2 linked regions of the Mus musculus genome follow. The protein of the gene in region 1 purifies or fractionates together with the protein of each later gene. This does not show direct contact. Links are inferred from orthologs where the notes say so. Each region holds a gene or a part of one and is shown in the gene's direction. Other genes may lie near its edges.

Region 1 (4,208 bases):
CAAAGTAGTAGTTGAGGACTGATATAGAAGGTTGTCCTCTGACCTCCACCTGTGAGGCGTGCAATTACCCAGTTATCCTTGGATTTCTCATCTCCATTTTATTTTCTACATAAATCAGTAGTTTTATGTGTGTCTTTTATTTGATGAATAGCAATGTTTTTCATTTGGATACCTTTATTAGCATTAGAAACAAGGCTGATTAGAAAGAAAAACTCTTCCTTTTATCACAAGGATTTTTACAAATATGATTCAGATTTTAATTATGTCAAAAATATGATCCTGCTACATTATTTAGGGTGTGATATAAGCTGTTGATGACCCCTTAACAGGCACAGGGTTAATCAGACAAATGTTACACCTCTTGCTTCTGAGTTATCTTAAGAAGTAGCTAGGCAACTTCTCTTCGCTTCACTTCTTATCTTTAACTACAAGAAAGATTGCCTGATGCAGTACTTTATTGTAAGGATAAGTCACATCCCTGGTCAGTTATGTCTCCATGTGTTTTCTAGGTCAATACGTGCTGACATAATAGCAGAAATGTTCTTATCTAAATGTAAGTGCTACAATGCAGCACTTCCTTTCCAGATACTATATTTTGTGGGATTTCATTAGTACTCAAGAATTTAAATCTGCATGGGCTCGGAACAGATTGAGGCCAATGTGTGTGTGGTATAAATCTTTTCCCAAGCTGCCCTCTTCCAAGCAACCGCTTTCCTAATGGAGTGAGATAAGATCATTGTAAGACTTTAAGTCTTATTTAGAATATACTCGTAAGTCTAGCACTATCTAATAAGCAATTAAGTTAAGAAATAGACTAGCAGTCTTGCGGGTGGAATTTCTGAGGTAATGTGAACCTAAGGACAGCGAGTTTCACCACAACTTCCCACTTTGAGAAAATAAAACAAGAATCACTGAGCAAGCATAACCTCCAACACTCTGTTCTGCTTCGTTTCAGTCCTTTGAATTGCTACCTCGATGACCAGATGTCTGTTCATTCAGCAGCCCTGAGCAGAATACCAGATCCTGTGCTCCTCTTGGCTGTACTCAGCATGCAGCGCTAAATAGCTGGGGACCCTACGCCTTTAAGGCGCGCGGGAGAGGCGGAAGAGGTGGGGGACGATGCGCCACGCCCATAGGGCGGAGCTACCCCCTAGGCCAGGGACCAGCATGGCGTGACGTCACGTAAGAATCCAGCTTTGATTGGTGAAAATTTAGAGAGGCCGGCTGGGAGCGAAGGAGGCGGGTCTGGTTGCCGTGGTGACCGGCTGCCCTGCGGTTGCCTGGTAACGGTGGGGACTGTGCGGTCTGTGGGGTGCGGGCGGCGAAGGCTGCAGAGATCCTGGCCGGAGCCCAGCCGGGCGCTGGGGGTCTGAGCAGGGATGGCCGCCGCGGCCGCGGTGATCCCGCCGTCGGGCTTGGACGATGGGGTGTCTCGGGCTCGCGGGGAAGGCGCAGGGGAGGCTGTGGTGGAGCGCGGGCCAGGAGCGGCCTACCACATGTTCGTGGTGATGGAAGACTTAGTGGAGAAGCTGAAGCTGCTCCGCTACGAGGAGGAGCTACTCCGAAAGAGCAATCTGAAGCCCCCGTCCAGGTGCGTGCCTTGCCCCCAGCGCCGGGTGCTGGCTGGACCCCAGGGGGACGCTCCCCCTTAGGTGAGGCGAAGACCCCGCGCGGGGGTCCTTACATCCCTTCCTCTGGCTTCTGTGCTCAGGAAGGAAACTTCCGCACTGTGGAAGGTGTAGTTTTTCAGACTTGATCATTTTGTGGAGAAAGTAAACAAGTTTTGTAATGGCAGGGAGGACTGGGGAAGACAGTCTGCCCATTTTTCAAAACAGTCACGCACCGTCTACCAAACACAAATCTTGTTTTAAATATAATAAAATACCCAAAGTAGAAAGGGTAGAAAAACCTATCTCTAGCGATGAGCGCCCTTATCATTTAGATCTCTTTCTAGTTTATGTTTTCCTTTGCTAGACTTTGTAAACTAACAACTGTGAATACTTAGGACATTTCTGAGCAGCACTTGTTATGTAGTAAGTAAACTTGTGGGCTAATTACTATGGTTCAAACGACTTAGTGCTTTTGCAACAATACTCTTAGAAAATGGGAAGTGGAGAAGGCAAATGAAATAAGTGTTTGGAATGGCCCTCAATATAGGACCTAAAGTTCCCGCTTGCGGTAGTGGGGAAAGTTTGGAATATCCCCAAGGCAGAGCCTATAGTTGTCAAGAGTGATAGACAAAAGTCCCTCCTGTAATCATGGTAGCTTAGTGATAACTGTGTTCTATTGCTTTTTTTTCCCTCTAAATCCCGTGTTTGTTTTATTCTGTAAGAAGAAATTAAAGAGTTATTTATCGTACTTTCTTTTCCATCAATGGGACACATATCATTTCTCTTGGCAGTTTTAAGCTCTTACCCTCTTCCAGACAGGTCTGGAAGAATTCTTGTATAAAATCTGCCCACAATGCCAAGTTAGTCTGTAAAAGGAGAAAAATTAGAGAAGAAAGATCATCTTGATCCTGATCCATAATAGAAGTTTCTAGATTGGGATTATTATTTAAAATAAATTGGTCATAGTAATATAGATGGCCAACATTTTTGGTGGGGATAAAAGTGTTAAGTTTTTCAAATTTATCTGTCAAACAAAGGGAAAGTGGACTTACTATTAATAGTAATATTATTAACGAGCTCTTATTAATGCCTTGCTGTACTGAAACTCAAAGCTTGAGCAAGACACTTTGTACCACGGATTTGTGTGGAGATATTCTAGCCAGTAGGTCAAGGTGTCACCATCAGACTAGCACGTCCACATCACCTGGGGATGTAGGAAGAAGTTGTCAGGCTCTTGTCCAGGTCTGCCTTTTCAGAAGGTCTGGAGATAAAACATCTGTAGGTGATTCTGATATACCTTCATGCTGCCGAATCCCCATCACAGGCCCACAGTATCTGTCAGTGTCCCTTCCTCTGGCCTCAAGGAGTGATAATAAGGAATAAACAGTTATTGGTGGGTAAATTCCTTGTAAACCTGTACCTGAACATTTATACTTTCTGGATGGAAAAAGTTTAGAAAATAGAAGTATAGATCACTGATTCTTATGTAATTGGTTTTATACATACACACACATTTAAAAACATAAGTCATTAGTCTCTTTAAATTCATATTATATATATGTGTATATATATATGTATGTAATAGTGATAGCAACATAGAGAAAACAAAGCAGATCTCTGATTCACCTTTTGGATGATGCTAGTTGTACCTTTTATGTCCTCCTTAGCTCTGTACAAATCTACCCTCATGGGAACATATCTAGTACAGTAATGGAATTAGCAAAGTGCAGCAGTGGTGACGTGTGGGGACCTCATGGAGGTTCTTGTTCCTTTCTGAAACCCTGCACCATCTAAGTTGGGAACCTCTGAAATGTACCTGTGTAGGGTTCCATTCCCATAAGTTATGGTTGTGCAGGACTGAGGGAAGACGCTCCTGGCAGCACTTTAAGGAGTTGATTGGAATATGTAGCTAAGATGTTTGGCATAGCTGGTAGGCTACAACCAGTAAAAACATGCTAAGTTATTAGTCTCTTTAAATCCACAGTTGCCACTTGGGGGGCGGAGGAACTTACTCATGACCAGTTAATTGATTTTGACCAAACCTTCATGCCATTCTCAAAAATTACTACCTTCCATTCCCTGGTTGTAGGGGGTTTTGGTCAAATATTTTGTGTGCTGTAGGGATTGTCCCTTGATACTAGCTCGAAACGTTCTGAGTGCCGTGAATCACTAGATCGTTCAAGAGTATTAATGAAGGATGCTTGAGGGACAATTAGCAACTTTGGACTTACTCACTGTTGACTTGCTTTAGCTTACACATCCAATCCTCCCTTCCTTTGAAACAGACACTACTTTGCTCTGCCTACCAACCCAGGCGAGCAGTTCTACATGTTTTGCACTCTTGCTGCGTGGCTGATCAACAAAACTGGCCGTGCCTTTGAGCAGCCTCAAGAATACGACGATCCCAATGCAACTATATCTAATATACTCTCTGAGCTTCGCTCTTTTGTAAGTGAGATACTCTCTTCTCCGTATTCTCAGACTGTGGATTTCAATAGTAACAGTTCAGTAACAGGTACTAGCCTTTCAGATGACTCTTTTGGAAGAGTAGACAGACAGACTGATAATTGACTGATATGAGTGATTTTTAAATTTATT
Region 2 (4,085 bases), on another chromosome or scaffold:
TGGCCAAGATCACACGGCTAATCAGTACAACTGGAGCCCCTTCTGTTCTTTCGAACTACTTCTACCTTAAAGAAGAGTTTCTTCTGACTGGGTCTTGCTATGTAGCCCAGGCTGGCCTCCTGCCTCAGCTTCCTGACTACAGATGACTGTCAGCACACCTGTGTCCTTGAGCTTTGCTGACACTGCGCCTCAGCCCCCTACCCTTCTCCAGAGCCACTTGTGGTGTTTCCTCTTCCTCCCAGGATAGCCCAAAGCTTTGGTAAATGGCAATAATGAAAAGAACCAACATCTTTTGGGTTTTTGAAACAGGGTCTCACTATGTAGCCTTGGTCTGGAGCTTACATGTGGACCAGGCTGGCCTTGGTTTCACTGACCCTTCTGCCTCTGCCTCCGTAGTAATGGATTTACAGGTGTGGGCCACCATATCTGACTGTAAGACCCCAACACTAATTAATACCTGCCACTCTGTAGATGCAAATCCAGCTATCCTTGGAGTGACCATCTCCATACGAAGGCAGGTAAGACTGTTATAGACAGGAAACTGGGGCTGAGATTAAATTAACCTGCCCAAGGTCACTCAAATGAGTGACAGCCAGGAGTCACAACAATGGTTCCAGCAAAGGCCTTTCTTCCTCTGCCCTTGCTACCGTGACAACCCACTCCCCTCAAGGGACAGGAATGGACCACAGCCCAGCTGTGTGTGATATCAGACTTCTGTGTGTACTCAGTGGCTTTTAAACTGTGTCAGACGGACTCCCGACTCCCTCTTCTCATGGCCCGAGAGCTCTCTAGAGGGGGAGCACTACTCATTTGCCTCCATAGCCCCAGCACAGAACAGGTGCTCCATAATGCCCAGTTATTTTACTTCTTCCGGGCCTCAATGCCACGAAGCAGAGGACAAGGGTGTCCCCGCTGAAGCCCTAAATCCCTAGAAAGGAGAAATGACCCCCCCAAGGCCTCCCAGAAATCCATTTGGGGTAACGACAGGAGAGGTCCCTCCTGTAGCAGAGAAGGCTCTCAAGCTGGTTGAAGCCGTTCTAAAGCTTTCTCCGGTGCCAGGGAAAGGACCTCGAGGAGGCAGCGGGCGGCTGGGGGAGGGATGAAGGAACGGGATATTTTTGCGTTCTGACATTAAAAGAAGAGTTGATTCGCGTCAGCATCTGTTCGGGGGTTGGAGCTGACAGCATGGGGAGCGGTCCCAGTCTTGCAGCCCTGGAGCGAAGGGCCGGGCCTCCATGAGCTCCGCCCAAAGGGGCGCTACCACCCGGAGGAGGCCGGCGCACGGCCGCTGCTCATTCATTGTCTTGACAGAGCATCCTCGGTGGCCAGCCTGCAGCTCCTCCATCCTTCTCTCCTTCCTCCTCTACTTGGGAGGGGTCACGCTCAGCTCTCCGCAGCAGGTGAGGCTGGGCGCCGGGGGAGGGCTGGTCACAAGGGCCAGGCAACGCTGCCATGGGCCACCTGTGGGGCCAGCGCCAGTGTGGGGGCAGGACTGTGGGACTGTGGGGGCGGGCGAGCTGTCAGAGCCACCAGGCTGGGGACAGAGAGCCGGTTTGTGAGCCCCGCCAGGAGGATCGAGGACGAGGGAGTTCGAAGGGGCAAGTAGGTCCCAGAGTGCTCCAAGGTGAGGGCTAAGGACCATCGTGACCAAGATGGAGGTGGGCTCCTGGGAGCGGCCGTAGCTGGGCTCAGAACCTATGCCCCGGGGAGGGAGCTTCTGAAGGTGGGGGATGCAGGGTGGGGTGAGCCAAGTAGCTGCCCTGAGCTTTGAGACAGGAAGGGGTTGAGTGCAAAACAAGACTAAGTTCCCCTTTCCGTGGTTTCCGGGCTTGGTACCTGGGTGGGGGAGGAGGCCGGGTGGGGCACATCTTCCGCCCCTACCTTGGATTGGGCTTTCCTTCTCCCAAATCCAGACTGCTCACTGGGGTCTTGTGTCCCCTTCCTGTCTTGGAGACTTCACTCAGGCACTTCACCTGCTTTTATTTTTAATAGACCTGGGAGCCTCCTTGGTGATACCGGGGTGTGCGAGGACTGGAGTCCCAGCACGAAGGGGCTGAGTCCCCCATTAAGGCAGAGCAGATGGGTGAGGCTGGGGAGGTGGATAGAGGCTCTGGGCAGGATGCCTTCCACAGCGCAGCCGAGGTTCCTTTACTGAGCAGGAAGGAGGAGGGATTGGGCACAGGATAGAGGCAGCCCCTGGGCTTCACTAGCTGGCTGCCTAGCCACAGTGGGTAACCATCTTAGCGGACCTCAGGGAAGTCAGGGTGGGCCTCTCCTGAGTGTAGTTTAACGGAAGCAGAAATGGCTCAGAAGAACATCTGCTTTTTTTCTGAGCGGAGGTTAGGAGCAGAGGTCTGGGGAGATGCTGGGACCCAAGCCATTGCTGCTTCTTGTAGCCAGAAACCTGGGGAAGCCATCCTGCTACTGCATCCCTTCCTAGGCAAGCTGGCTTGCATCCCTCTGTGTGCCATCCCTGAGCTGGAAGGCCAGGGAGAAGCCCTGCCCTGCCTTTAGGAAGCTCTGTGTGAGGGATGTGGGATCTAGAAGAGTTCGATAGGAGGGAACCTATCTCCAGACTGTCTGGACCACTAGGAAGGAGGCACTGTGTCTTAGTCAAGAACCAGACCCTTGGAGCCACACCATAGCAGGCTGTTGTAGGGGCTGATGGTGCAGGATTGAGGGTGTGGCTTGAAGTGCCTGGGAATTTGACAGAAAAACTGGGGAGGGTAAGCAGGGAGATAAGCAAGCTGTCAGTCATGGTCAGGGTGCCTCAGACGCCATGCTGGAACCCTCAAGGCCAGGCCAAGGGTTGCTCTGGGGATGACAAAGTGCGGCTGGGATTGACCCAAAGAAAAGTTTACAATCTGTATCCTTCAGGATGAGCCGGCAGGTGGTTCGCTCCAGCAAATTCCGCCACGTGTTTGGACAGCCAGCCAAGGCTGACCAGTGCTATGAGGATGTGCGCGTCTCACAAACCACTTGGGACAGTGGCTTCTGCGCTGTCAACCCCAAGTTCATGGCTCTGATCTGTGAGGCCAGTGGGGGAGGGGCCTTCCTGGTGCTACCCCTAGGCAAGGTGAGCTTCCGGAACCTCAATGGTCCTGGGGAGGACTCTGCTGTCCATGGAGACTGTGGGGTCCTCAGTAGCTGACTGTGACCCAGCTTCCCTGGGGTTCTGTGTTGATATCTGTAAAATGGGACAGGGCCATTTGCTACTTAAGCTCTCTGGGGACAAAACAAGGGGGGCAGGTCCCCCAAATCTTGGCTTGGGGTTTTCTGCTAAGGATAAGGCTGCAGGTCTGGCGAGGACTTTGGGGACCCTTCAAGCGTAAGCCCTGGTGGAGACGAGGCAAAACCCTTTTTTTTCCTCCCCTCTGAGCCTGCTGTTCTTCAGCTGAAGTTCACTCCTGGACTCCTCAGGGGGTGAAACAGGAAGGGGAGATAGGCCCCAAGTTTTACCTTAAAAGGGCCGATGGAAGCAGAAGAGAAGAGGAAGTGGTTGTCGGGTTGAAGCTGGGCCTGCACCCTGCTCAGCTCCTTACACAGGAAGCAGTTGGCTCTCGGAAGAGGCCATTTCCAAACCTCTGCTGCTGTCTAGAGGCATCAGACAGACCTCCAGGCCCAAATCTATAGGACACATCCTATAGCACTCTTCTCACACTCTCCTCTTGGGGACCACAGCCCCATGCTCACCCTGGGTCCATGGTACCCACACATGACACTGAGAAAGAGGGCCAGGATCTTGGCCAGAGTCTCATTTGGTGCTAGCTTTCTTGGGACTAGACGATGCCAAGTCCTCCCCACCCCAGTGCTCCCAGGGACCCCACAGCCTTCCTCTGCGTCCCTCTGCAGGGGTGTGTGGGGAGGTTGGATTGGGTTCAGAGGTCAAATCGCCTCCATTAGAATCCCCGTTGTGCCCCCAGACTGGACGAGTAGACAAGAACGTGCCCCTGGTCTGCGGCCACACTGCCCCTGTGCTAGACATCGCCTGGTGTCCACACAATGACAATGTCATTGCCAGTGGCTCTGAGGACTGCACAGTTATGGTAAGTCTGTTAGGGATGTGTTCTGAAGGAGTCTGGAAG

What was found. Proteins that work in one complex are often made in the same cells at the same time.
Region 2: the proteins of Ift57 (region 1) and Coro1a purify together in Homo sapiens (affinity purification with mass spectrometry; 3 studies listed by BioGRID and IntAct, counting the BioPlex papers as one, with this or other methods). This does not show direct contact. The link is inferred for Mus musculus from reciprocal best matches to the Homo sapiens genes IFT57 and CORO1A.

Annotation. Positions count from the first base shown.
Region 1 is NC_000082.6:49,697,959-49,702,166, forward strand, and holds the start of Ift57 (intraflagellar transport protein 57 homolog), read left to right. Parts: upstream 1-1,335; 5' UTR 1,336-1,379; coding exon 1,380-1,591; intron 1,592-3,895; coding exon 3,896-4,058; intron 4,059-4,208. UniProt on the Homo sapiens protein: Required for the formation of cilia. Plays an indirect role in sonic hedgehog signaling, cilia being required for all activity of the hedgehog pathway.
Region 2 is NC_000073.6:126,701,967-126,706,051, reverse strand, and holds the start of Coro1a (coronin-1A), read left to right. Parts: upstream 1-1,235; 5' UTR 1,236-1,400; exon of another isoform or gene 1,401-1,624; intron 1,625-1,831; exon of another isoform or gene 1,832-2,083; intron 2,084-2,856; exon of another isoform or gene 2,857-2,877; 5' UTR 2,878-2,878; coding exon 2,879-3,076; intron 3,077-3,923; coding exon 3,924-4,046; intron 4,047-4,085. UniProt on the Homo sapiens protein: May be a crucial component of the cytoskeleton of highly motile cells, functioning both in the invagination of large pieces of plasma membrane, as well as in forming protrusions of the plasma membrane involved in cell locomotion.